Nothobranchius furzeri: one gene and its partners. The protein of the gene in region 1 interacts with the protein of each later gene in a pairwise test. Links are inferred from orthologs where the notes say so. Each region holds a gene or a part of one and is shown in the gene's direction. Other genes may lie near its edges.

The links.
Region 2: the proteins of txlnbb (region 1) and washc3 interact in binary tests that used the Homo sapiens proteins (3 or more experiments, as listed by UniProt). The two-hybrid records come from large-scale screens. The link is inferred for Nothobranchius furzeri from reciprocal best matches to the Homo sapiens genes TXLNB and WASHC3.
Region 3: the proteins of txlnbb (region 1) and nmi interact in binary tests that used the Homo sapiens proteins (3 or more experiments, as listed by UniProt). The two-hybrid records come from large-scale screens. The link is inferred for Nothobranchius furzeri from reciprocal best matches to the Homo sapiens genes TXLNB and NMI.

Annotation. Positions count from the first base shown.
Region 1 is NC_091758.1:20,072,776-20,076,888, reverse strand, and holds the start of txlnbb (taxilin beta b), read left to right. Parts: upstream 1-1,290; 5' UTR 1,291-1,413; intron 1,414-4,025; 5' UTR 4,026-4,064; coding exon 4,065-4,113. UniProt on the Homo sapiens protein: Promotes motor nerve regeneration. May be involved in intracellular vesicle traffic.
Region 2 is NC_091741.1:43,372,305-43,376,422, reverse strand, and holds the start of washc3 (WASH complex subunit 3), read left to right. Parts: upstream 1-1,284; 5' UTR 1,285-1,419; coding exon 1,420-1,470; intron 1,471-2,966; coding exon 2,967-3,065; intron 3,066-3,167; coding exon 3,168-3,233; intron 3,234-3,305; coding exon 3,306-3,443; intron 3,444-4,118. Other genes in the region: uncharacterized protein, read right to left, coding at 1-188, 909-942. UniProt on the Homo sapiens protein: Acts as a component of the WASH core complex that functions as a nucleation-promoting factor (NPF) at the surface of endosomes, where it recruits and activates the Arp2/3 complex to induce actin polymerization, playing a key role in the fission of tubules that serve as transport intermediates during endosome sorting.
Region 3 is NC_091746.1:33,689,398-33,693,048, reverse strand, and holds part of nmi (N-myc-interactor), read left to right. Parts: intron 1-98; coding exon 99-205; intron 206-1,626; coding exon 1,627-1,813; intron 1,814-2,263; coding exon 2,264-2,367; intron 2,368-3,053; coding exon 3,054-3,254; 3' UTR 3,255-3,651. UniProt on the Homo sapiens protein: Acts as a signaling pathway regulator involved in innate immune system response.

The DNA of each region.
Region 1 (4,113 bases):
ACAAATAGGTACTGAAACAAAAACTGAACATAAGTGAACGGGGCTGTCAAAGTTATTTCCTGGTCCGCTTTAGCTTACGCACTGAATCACAAATATGTTTTACTTCAATTTAAATGATAAATAATTATGTGTTTTGACTATGTCTGTCACGTAATTTGAGATTTATTTGCTTAAAAAAGTCATAAATAAAAAAATTACAAAGCAGAAGTTGCAAACTTGCAAATATGACGTCGGCGCAGAATCTCATCTCCCTAGCGTAGCTGCTACTTTGCACGTGGCCAGATTTATAACCTTAACTCTGAAAACATATTTTTTATTATTATTTCTGATCAGTCACTAAGTTATGCTGGCTGAACATGAAAATAGTCTCCCACACATATGTCCTGCTATGGTGAAACAAGGATTAGAAAAGCCAGTCAGTGTTAGAGGTGCGTTGCTGTTAAGTAATCTGAGGTAAAATGTCCAAATGTCAGAAAATAAGACAGCTGTGATGAGGCTCACTTTTGGTTCCTGGAAATGCACCGGTGCCCCCCCCCCCCCCCCCCCCCCCCCAAAAGATGATTTCAATTTTAGATATGGTATATTTATTTCCCCACGTTTAGAAAATGGATTCCTACATCAAAGAATTAAATTAGACATTGGGCCCTGTCAACAGATATTAATCTCATATAATCAGAAGGAGGAGAATTTTTTGTGGTCTGTTTATTACTTTTTACAACGTGAAATATAATTATTGAGAGTAATATTCAGTTTCAATGGTGCTGAGCTGGATAATGATGCTGGATTATCTCCCTCCCCAACTACATCGGTCTCTCATTATCATTCCACCTGTGCGGTTCACAACTGTTTAAATTAGAGCCCATCATTCACTTTCTGTCTTTAGGGAGGCAGAAAAAAAATATCTCCAGTGTGAAACTTGTAATAGCTACATCTGGTGGCGAAAATTGAATACTGCAGCTGCAGCGTGGAGGTAAAATAAAATGGGTGCTTCCAAAAGTAGTGTTCACCTTGTAGATAGTTTTCAGCCGCTTTCAGAATTTAACTGTCAGCTCAAAATCAGCAGATTGTGTAAAAAAATAAAAAAAACTGAAAGAAAGGCTTATCAGGCCAGTCTGAGAAACAGCGTTTTCTCTTCTCTCCTGCTCAGTCTCTTTTCATGACTAATAGGAGCGAAGCTTAAAATTAAATCAGCACTGCGTTGATCTAAAGTAGCAAAGGTGCAACACCAAATAACGAGTTTTACTCTGAGGTTTGCAGCAGAGATGAGCTGCAGAGCGTCCTCCCTCTCTGAGCAGTGAGCTGCTCTCTCCTGGTTTATTTTGAGGGGCTCTTATCACAGCTGTTGCATCAGTGGTGGCCGCCTGTCCGAGCCCCTCCACACTCTTTCTGTTCCCCATCTGGCCCTCAGTCCTGGTAAGACCCTGCCTGCTCTTTACCCTGCTTCTTTTCTGATATTTGCACACAAATAACATAGAATTCTTGGTTTCCTAACATCTGTCTCACACGTCTAACAAACGTGGGACTGACTCCAGTGGCGGTTTGGAGTTTGCCAAGTCTGTTGAAGATGAGATGCTGTTAATTGCAGTGAGACTTTCCTGCGTCATTTGCTGTCAGAAGTTAAAATTGTCTGCTGGTGAGAGAAAAGGGAACATTTTAACCTCTAATGAAACGCTGCATAGTTAAAAGAGTTTTCCTACACATAGCTCTGTAAAATTTCCATTTTAACATGTACTTCTTTATAAAAGCGTTAAAAGATCAGAGATATTTGTCTTTATTTGAAGTTTAACCACAATAAAAAGATGTTTTCAAGAAACACTGACCCTGACATAAAAAAAGAGTGGAATAGAATTAAATAATAAACAACATGCCCATATTAAGAAGTTCCTAAAATAGCTTGTGGGTCTGGAACAGGTGCCATTTGCTCTTCTTGTGAAAGCTAATTATATGCATCTAAACAGGCTCTGGCTGCGAGTACGACTCCACAGATACAAGCATGATGGACTTTACTACACCAGGAAAGCTTTGTTCGGGTTTATCACCTCGCTGCTGCAAAGACATTGAAATTCATATAAAAAAAAGGCATTCAGATATTTCATCTAGAGCATTATTTGGTGCGTATTTCTGTTTCTGCAAAAGAAATGTGCACCAAAGTTATGTTTTTAGTCTAATAAACAAAAACAACTTCAGCAGCATAGAATATTTAAATAAGAAAAGCTTCTTGGTGGTGGAATCTGCTTAATTCTGATTAATCTGTTATGATTTCACTCAACAATATGTATGTGAAATCTCCAACCAGTTTTCTCTGTAAATCTTGTTAGGATCTGCAAGGTGCTCAAATGGAGGAAAAACACTTGATATGAGGTTTTTAGACTGAATTTCAAGGTGTTGATTTTAATGTCAGGTTACATAGTTGAAGATTTCTTTATCATTTAAGTGCTGCTAATTTAGGCATCAAACACACAAAAATTCAGGCTGTAAATGTACTCGTTGTTGCTCTTAAACATCACAGGTTTGGATACTGTAGCTGTTGTGGATAGCACTGAACAACCTCAGTTTGGAGAAGCAGAGATGAGTTCTGACTGGACAAATGCTGATCTCAGTGGGGCAAGTCACAGACTGATTAGGAATATCTCAAAAGCCTCACAGTAGTTAGTGTGAATTAACTACATAAGACTCTGGTGGTTTGCAGCAGAAACTAGCTGCTTTAGCATTTCTGAAATTAAATGCTTAAAAGGCTACGGTAGACCAGCTTGTTTGTCATACCAGAGATAATTTCTGTTCCTCTTAAAGCCAGGCGTTCTCATGTGAGAATCTTTGAGGTTGAGGCGAGTTTGGTGTTGTGTGTCCAGTAGTATACAGGGATTACGAGAGGCGATTAGCACCGCACGACCAGCTCCCAATCAGTAATTGCACAAATATCAAACATGTTTGATATTTTCCTCATCCCTCGTGAGGTTATCACACTGTTGGAACAGCGCTGCGAGCCAAAAGTACCAGAACTGCTCACACAGCGCATGCACCAACACGGCTCGTCAGCTATTTTCGTATCAACTCAAGCTGTATTACTTATTTTTATACTTTTCTCTACACACAGTGACAAGGATTGTCAAGAAAGTGTGTTTTATGCCAAATAAAACATTGTTTTACTTCCTTTCTTTTGTCTTCCTTCTCAAACCCCCATAAACCCCATGTTGTCCTTCTATGGCAAGCCCGAAGGATAACACACATTAATAACATAGTTTGAATATGTTCATTTTTCCAAATAAATGCTGAAAAAAAACCCACCAGTAACAACACAACAGGTTTTAGAAATCGAAAGTCTGACATGTTGCGTAAAAACGACTATTTGTAGCATATTTTAGCTCCGATGTGTTGCTAGCACACATACAGTGTGAACAGTACAGTGAGAGAACATGTGAGCTTTGCTCTGCGAGGAAGTCATCCAGTTTGAGATGGAGCTGAATGCTACGAGTGAAAGCCACACAATGTCCACCCGTCCTAACTGATGTTGTCCAAAAGGCTTTATGGAGGATGTAAGATATTCATTGCTTTTGGCCTTTTAAGAGAAACACTTCAAAAAGCGGAACCCCCGCTTTTATGATCTTTTATGGTTTTCTTTCCAGTAAACCACTTTTAAAGTGGCCTAAATTGTACAAATAAATCAGATGTGGCTACACAAACTAATTGTCACGGTGTAGGAGGTGGAGATGATGGACCGCTAATTAGGGAAACATGGGCAGGTAAACGAGGGACAGGTGAGAACAATAAGGGCAATCACGGCAGGAGAGGAACACAGTCAGGTTGGGCAGGGGCAGATCGTGACACTAATATTAAAAAATCCTAACATGTTTTTTGTTTGTAATGGGGAGACTGTTTCTATAAAACCTCAGATATGATGTTTAATTCAACGATGAAAACAGATTTTTTTTTATGTGAAAAAGTGATCAAAGCATTTTTGTTGTGAGATAACAGACAGAGCAGCCGTGATCTGTCTGTAAATGATTTATTTTTGGTCTCTCGTGCAGAGGCAACTGTCTCCTTTGTGTTGCTACTAGCTCAGAATAATGGAGGCTTGTCAGGAGAGCAGCACTGCCCCCACCGGTCCCGAGGCAT
Region 2 (4,118 bases), on another chromosome or scaffold:
GAGAAGGAGATGCGCTCTCTGTCTGTGGTTGATCAAACCAGGAACTGCTTCTGTCAGCATGGACACAAACTCCTGCAGCTTCCCATAGTTCATCACATCTTTCCCCTTCATCAGATTCCACATAGCAGCAGACAGAAGATGCAAGGGAGGCACCAGGAGGCGAAAGGAGGGCAAAGGGAAGTTTGGGTCTGAAACATTAATGTGTAAAGTCAGAAATGACCGATGGAGGGCAGTAACACACCCCCTAATTCAGAGAGCATTCAGAGTACTTGCAGGAAACAGCAGGTGGATAAAATTTTCACGATGTGATTTTGCAAAGTTCTCACATTTTACACATAACTGAAACAGTTATTGGCTTCATACAGATAATTAAAAACAATCAAGCAATAAAACAATCACGTGATCTGTTACATTGTTGTCTGTCATTTGCTTGCTTGCTTGCTAAAGTCACTGAGACCAGTCAGTGACTGGATGCAGTTTGCTGGGTTCCTTATATAGGAAACTTTTTTTCCTGATTGGCTTAATGAACTGACCTGTATTGGAATGTTAACTATGTGAAGTGCCTCGAGACGACTCTTGTCGTGATTTGGCGCTGTATAAATAAACTTGAATTGAATTTGAGCTACAGGCTTTTGAACTGGAGAAAATCCTGGACAGATCTTTAACATTTTAGATACACAATCTGGAAAATGTCCACAGATGTTACTCAAAAGCTTCGCAACTTAGTTAAAACAATATATCGCGTAAGAGTGTCTGTACATTTAACAGCAAGCTAACTTCCACTGCGCAACAACAACAGTCTGCCAAATAATGAACATTGTGGTTCCTTTAAATAGACAGAGCCCACTGATAGTAAAACAAACACGTCTCCAGAAAATATCAGAAAGGCAAACTGGTAACATACATACCCTCCATTTTTTCTTTTGATTCCACAACTTCCATTAAAGCATCCCACCAAGTGAATTTGAGGAATCTGTGTATATTTGTGCTGTTTGTTTTGGTGGCTAATGCGCTATTAGAGCGCAAGCATCGCTTCCTCAAGTATTCACTCAAGTTTCCGCTTTTCAAAATATATGTCTGAAAGACGTGTTTTGGTGTTTTCTAATGAATTTCAGAATGCTATTATTTTCAAGTTCTTTTTTACTTCAAAGCCAATGACTAGATAAAGAAAAAGTTTAGAAAATTTCGACAGCTCGAAATATAAAAGTGTGAATTCGAGTGCATTGATGCCTCTTCAAAATAAAAGTTAATCATTTCCTTTTCCTAGAGTGACGTAATCACGTAGCCAGTCACACTGCTCAGTGTCACGTGAAGCCTTCAACGGTGTAAATGTTTTGTTTCATGTCATTTTTTCTTTCAAATTTCGTGCCATTAGACCTGAAACCACATTCCTATTCACAGGAAGTGTAAAACGCTAACATGGACGAGGACGGCCTGCCGTTAGTCGGGTCAGGAGTCGATCTTACGAAGGTTTGTGTTTCTAACTGGTTAGCTAACACTGAAAACCTGAGAACCCAAAGCTATGTTTGTGCTTTTTAACAAAATATATAATCACTAATGCAGAGAAAACTGTGGCCTTTTTCTAACTAATTTCACCTACTTGTAACTGTTTGCCTAGTCATTTTCCTTTTGGTTTGTTCTAAAGAAGTATCAAAAGAGGAAAGAACGTTTTCTCTCCGAACACTGATGTTCTATTTGAATACATCATTCATTAGATTCTATTACCGGTGTTGTGCCGAAAAGAGCTTGTCTGCGAAAATGTGCATCCCCTGCGGGAAGGCGCGTATGAGACCGCTTTTTAATAAATGTGTACAACATGAGCTGCATCCTTCCTTACAAAATGATGGTTTATGAGCAAATAAGTAAAATAAACTACTGTTTATAACATGTTTTATTTTAAGTAATATAATGCACATATAAAAGGTTAGTCATTTTGAGTCTGCTTTTTTAAACCAACAAAATTGTTTAATACTTGCTAAAACATTAGTGTCAAACGTGTTGAAAAAGGTCAATTATTTAATCATTATTTCATCATATTTGTAGTCAAAAACAAAATCTTTTCAGGAGAAACACGGATTAGAAACGTGTTCAAATTCTGAATTGCTCATAATTCAAATTCTTCTTCAATTTGCGTCTTTCGACGGGGATACACATTTCGGTAGGCGTGCTCTTTTCGGCACAACACCTGATATACAGTAGTCTGTTATTCCAAATGTTTTTCCTCCACACCGATTTGCATCCATTATATGCAAAGTCAGACATGTGGGTAGAGTAGCCAGAGATTATACTCAAATAAGAGTAGCATTACTTTCATATATGTTTACTTGAGTAGTTAAAAAAAAGTACAAAAACTGTGTTTGCAAAAAAGCTGCTCAAATAATGAGTAATCATAACAGCTCCTTTAATTTATAAAATCCATTCAAACAGATAATAGTATAATGTTATATGATAAATTATATAATGTAAAGACTTAATTAAAATGTTGCATTTCTTTTTCCTAAAAATACTCAAGTAAATATAATTAGTAACTACCCAACACAGAAAATCAGATTTGATAGTTTTCATCATTCTTTTTGCCATTAGCATTTTGTTTGATGCAAGACTTTAAAGGTAGAACTCAGCTGCTTTTAAAATTCTCTCAAATACTTGAAACTTTGCAATAATCCACAGGTTACTGTATGTTATTGTGTTGTTTAAATAACACTGCTAACACATGACCCTGGTCTGTTTATGTAGATGTTGTTTATTCTCCCTGGTGTTAATTGTTGTTTTGTACTGCTTTGTTTCAATAAAGATTTACAAAAAACATTTTAACAGCAGTAGTTAAAAGTCATTTTAGAATCCCCTCAATATTATTTAAAGCCATAACATTCAAAAATCAATTATACTAGAGGTTTATGTTTAGTAAAATAAACTATAGTAACACTTGGTAAGTTTTTAATTATACTGCTTTTATCTTTTCTCAGGTTCCTGCAATACAGCAGAGACGAATCGTTGGATTTCTCAACCAGTTTGTTGTGCACACCGTACGATTTCTTAACCAGTTTTCCACCGTGTGTGAAGAGGTTTGTGTTTGTTTGTTTGTTTTTTACTCCTTAATGCTTCTTCTGCCTCAGAATATGAACTCAAATTATGTATTTATTTATTTTTTTTACTTCTCTTCACAGAAACTTGCAAACATTTCTCTTCGCATACAGCAGATTGAAACCACACTCAGCATTTTAGAGGCTAAGGTAACTTGTGAGACCTTGATACCGTTTCTGGATGTTGTCTTTTCACTTATGCAGTGACATTGTTCTGAGCAGCTGTCCTCTATTCCTGGACTGGAGGACGTCACAGTAGAGGGCCTCAACCAACAGCAGGCCTCCCACACTAAAGGACCCAGTACTATCGGTCAGAACCTAACTAACGGTGTAGCAGCAGGACCACCTTCTTCCTCAGAGGTAGGAGTTCAGACCCACCTGCAACAGACATGCAGGTTCAATCGGCCACGATGAATGCCAAAACAGTCTTTGTGTCTTTTTTCTTGTTTGGGAGTCTGTGATGCCAAAAATCGGCAGTTGAACTTTTCTTTTTAAGTCGGAATGTAGATTGTCATCAGCTCTTTGGTCGATGCAACAAGTAGAAACCTGCCGTCAACGCAACTGTTGTTTTGTTTTCTTTTGGAGTTTACGTACAAAAAAGGCTCAACATTCCCCTCCTGTTGTAAAGGATAGACTTTTAGTTTTGAGAACCTTCAAAGAAGTATGTTTGTTACTGGCTGCTTTGTTTGCATAGTGATCGGATTGGATTTTGATTGTCCTCCTCACACTCTGACAGGATTGTAAAATCCTATCCAGAAGTGTGACGTTACATATTTACAGTGAGAAAGGTGGAAAACCTTCAGGGCAGATTTCCTGAGTCTGCAGCACAGAGTTCAGGCCGAGGTCAGTAAACAAGCCATCACTTTTGGTTAAAACAGTGCACCAGGTCAGCTCAAACACCTCCTGTCCTCTGTAAAGCACGGTGGCAGGGGGCTGATGATTTGGGCTTATTTCTGCAGTGACTGAGTCAAACATGAACTCCTCTTTACACCAAAGTGGTCAGACTTAAACTGAAGTATAGATTGGGTCTCGCTG
Region 3 (3,651 bases), on another chromosome or scaffold:
AAGGAGTAGCTCTCAGAGTGCTGTCAGTCAGAGACAGAGGTATCAGGGTAGCTGTTGTTCCTGGTGAAAACGAGTATGTGGTGTTTTTGGTCCTCCAGTGGCTTCTCAGATCCTGAAAATGGCCCACTGCCGGGTGACTTGTGAGGACTCCTCTCTGGATGTCAAACCTAAAAGAATCACCATGGAAACACCTGTGACGTTTGAGGTAACGTTTCAGATACTTCACAGCGACTTAAAGGAGTGGTTCGCTCATTTAATCAGTACATTTGCAGTGGTCTCTAGTAGGATTGAATGCCTCGTAAGTTATTCTCTTGGGGGGGGGGGGGGGGGGGTATACCGGTTCACCTTTTCTCAGATCTAAACATTTCCCACACCACAACTGAGCTTCAGACGGCAGGTGCAGGAGTCTCATTTCCTGACATTTGGACATCTCGCACCAGATTGGATAACAGCAACACGACTCTACCACTGACTTGCAATGTGGATATCTTGTCTCCACCAATAACACAAGCCTGAAGGAGTTCTGCTGTGTGGTGAAGTTGCTAATGCTAATAGTTAGCTTAAACTAGCCGAGATTTCCGCTGCTGATCTCTGGACGCAAAACCAACAACAAACTTCTTCGTCGTGATTCAAGATGGGTGAGTCCATAAATGTTAGGTGACAGTGTGACGTAGATGTGTCAGGATTTTCTAATCCTAAAATTTGATCGTCTATGTTCTATCAGAAGCTAATGCAGGAGATGGGTGTAGGAGACTATTTTCATGTTCAGCTTACAGGAAAATCCCAGAGGTACTGTTTATAATCAGAATTAATCATTAAAAATGGTTTTTCAGTTAACTCAACCTTTAAAATAAGGATTTAACAAAACTATATATATTCAAAAACTAATTTAATCTAAAATCAAATATGATTTATGTTGTTAACGCAGTAAATAAAAATGAAATAAAATCATAAAGTATCTATTTATTAAAGGAGACATACGGTATGCAAATGCCACCTTTTGAATCCTTTTGTGCTGCCGCTTGGTTCTCTACTGTCTATAAACACTCTAAACGTGAAAAAATCCATCCATTCGTTTTCTGTCAGAGATTGGTTTGGGGAATAGAATAGAATAGAATAGAATAGACTTTATTAATCCCACAGTGGGGAAATTCACCTGCTACAGCAGCACACACACTTAAAAAGGAAGAGGAAGATAATAAGATTACAGGTAACCACACAAAGGCAGTAAGCTATTATTTATTATTATTTATTATGTGCCTAAAACAAGCTGCTTCAAAAAGTTCTCATTTGTGACATTTGTAAATTGATAAAAAAAAATAAAAAGATCTTCATTTATATTTTTGCATGCATTCTTTGTTGACCGCATTTCTTCGTGCCTGCCTAAAACTTTTGCACACTATTTGAGGCGCTGGTAATCTGCACAAGATAAATACCCACAATCCTTCTGTCTGTAAAGAAGTTAGATTACAGCCCAGTTCCACTTTTAGGACAAATTCTGGGATTGAAAGCTGGAATGGGATTCTTGGGTGGGATGCTGGGTTGGGTTGCAGGTCAGGTGTGAGGATGGGGTGGGCTTCTCTTATTACCATCAGAACCTCATTTCTAATAGTGATTTGGATGTAGGTCCACCTTGATATGTCCAGGAAGGAGCTACAAGTTCTGGATGTCCCTCCTTCCATGCCAGAGGAGAGGATAAAGGACAGACTGGAGATGAGTTTTTCTAAAAGCAGCCGGGGTGGAGGAGAGGTGGAGAGTGTGGATTACGATGAGGAGAGCAGAAAGGGACGCGTGATATTTCTACATCCTGGAGGTACTTTTACCTACATACTTCTGCTGTTGCTGTAGGTCGTGGTTAACTTGGACAGGTTTTGTGTACGCATTTTTCATTCAGCAGAAAATCCGTTATATCAGGTTCTGCCTCGGTAACAGGCAGCTTTAATCTGCTTATTAGGTCAACGCTCTGACATGCTTTTTATCTGTTGCTGCTTCCTGATTCTGTTTGGTCTGGTGATGCTACAGCTGCAAAAATACTATTTCAAACCACTAGCTACCGGTGTGGCTAGCTTAGCCACTTGTTGCTGTGTTTAGAAAGTATTCAGGCCCCTCCAGTACTTTTCTAATAATTCACTAGCTACAGATCTGAAGGCCTTTGGCGACTTTAGGAGACACACATGAAAATATGGAATAATCTCATTTCAGTGTGTGTGTGTGTGTGTGTGTGTGTGTGTGTGTGTGTGTTATGACTAACACCTATCTGTAGTTGCTGTGGACCTGGCCATGAGAGGAGATTACATCGTTGATCTAGAACATGAAGAACACCTGAAGGTTGAACCAACATATAGATATGATCTGCAAAAGTTTCAGGTGAGGAAAGTTTATTAAAGAACAGCCAGTCCTTCACACACTAGTTCGATTAGGAGCACGTGTCCCAATGAGATCTAAGCCAGAGAACATCAGAATTCCTGCAAAACCTGAGACATAATATTAAAATCTGAAAACAATTTCAGATTGAACTGACGGTTGAACGTGTTAACATCAGTTATCATCTTGGTTCAGATCTGATGAGTCCTGCTCCTGATCTGCGGTAACACCTCCCTAACCCTCATGTTCTCAGTCAAGAGGAAACATGATAAATGACTCAGTGTCTTGCCCAGGGACAAAATGCCATTAATAAAATGTATCTGTGTTAGTTGTCCACCTGCTCATATTAATGAGCAGGTGACATTAATGTCATTCTGCTGTGTGGTCAAACGTCACTTTTCAGAGTGGCCTTTTATTGTGGCCAGTCTAAGGCACACCTGTGCAGATTCATGCTAATCAGCACCTTGGTATGCCACATCTGTGAGGTGGTATAGATGATCTCAGTGCTCACTGACACAGATTTGGACAGATTTGTGAACATTATTTGAGAGTCATGGGTCTTTAGTGTTTATAGTAAATGTTTCAGATCTCTGAGTTGAACTCATGAAAAATAAGAGCAAAAACAAAGTTTTGTGTTCATATTTTTGTACAGAGTACTTCTTAACTAAGATCTCATCTGTGTGTTCCAGACATTTTGTGGTTCTGTAAAACGAACCATCCTTCTGGACGTCATTGGGGGTAAAGAAGATGAGGAGGACCTGCAGGACCACCTTGAAATCCACTTTCAGAAGCCCAGCAACAGCGGTGGTGAGATTGAGTGCATTCGTTACATCTCCGAGGGCAAGACTCTCCAGGCTTTCTTCTCTGAGGACAAGATGGACGTGGAGTGAAATTGTCGTATCCTCAGTTTGAACGTTTATTACATCCTTCTGTAAAAAAAAAAAAACGGTTGATCATTAAAGCTATCTGATTGTTTGGCAAAAGTGGAGGGATTGTTAAGATGTTTGAGGTGGTTCTTGGTGGAGGAATTTTTGTTTTTCAATAATCAAAATCTATTGGAAATGTAAGTTTTTACACATTAACTTTGTGAGTTATTAAATCAAAGCTGCCTAGTTGTCTCTATAAACATATAATCAGTATCACACGCATCTAAACACCTAGAAAGTCCTGTCACTTCCTGACTGACTGTAGATGCCTAGGGACCATGTGGAGGGAACTGTCTCTGAGGCTTTTTGGAGATTTCCCACCAGAGCTCTGTCCTTTTCCACCACTGACCGTATGTGGTCA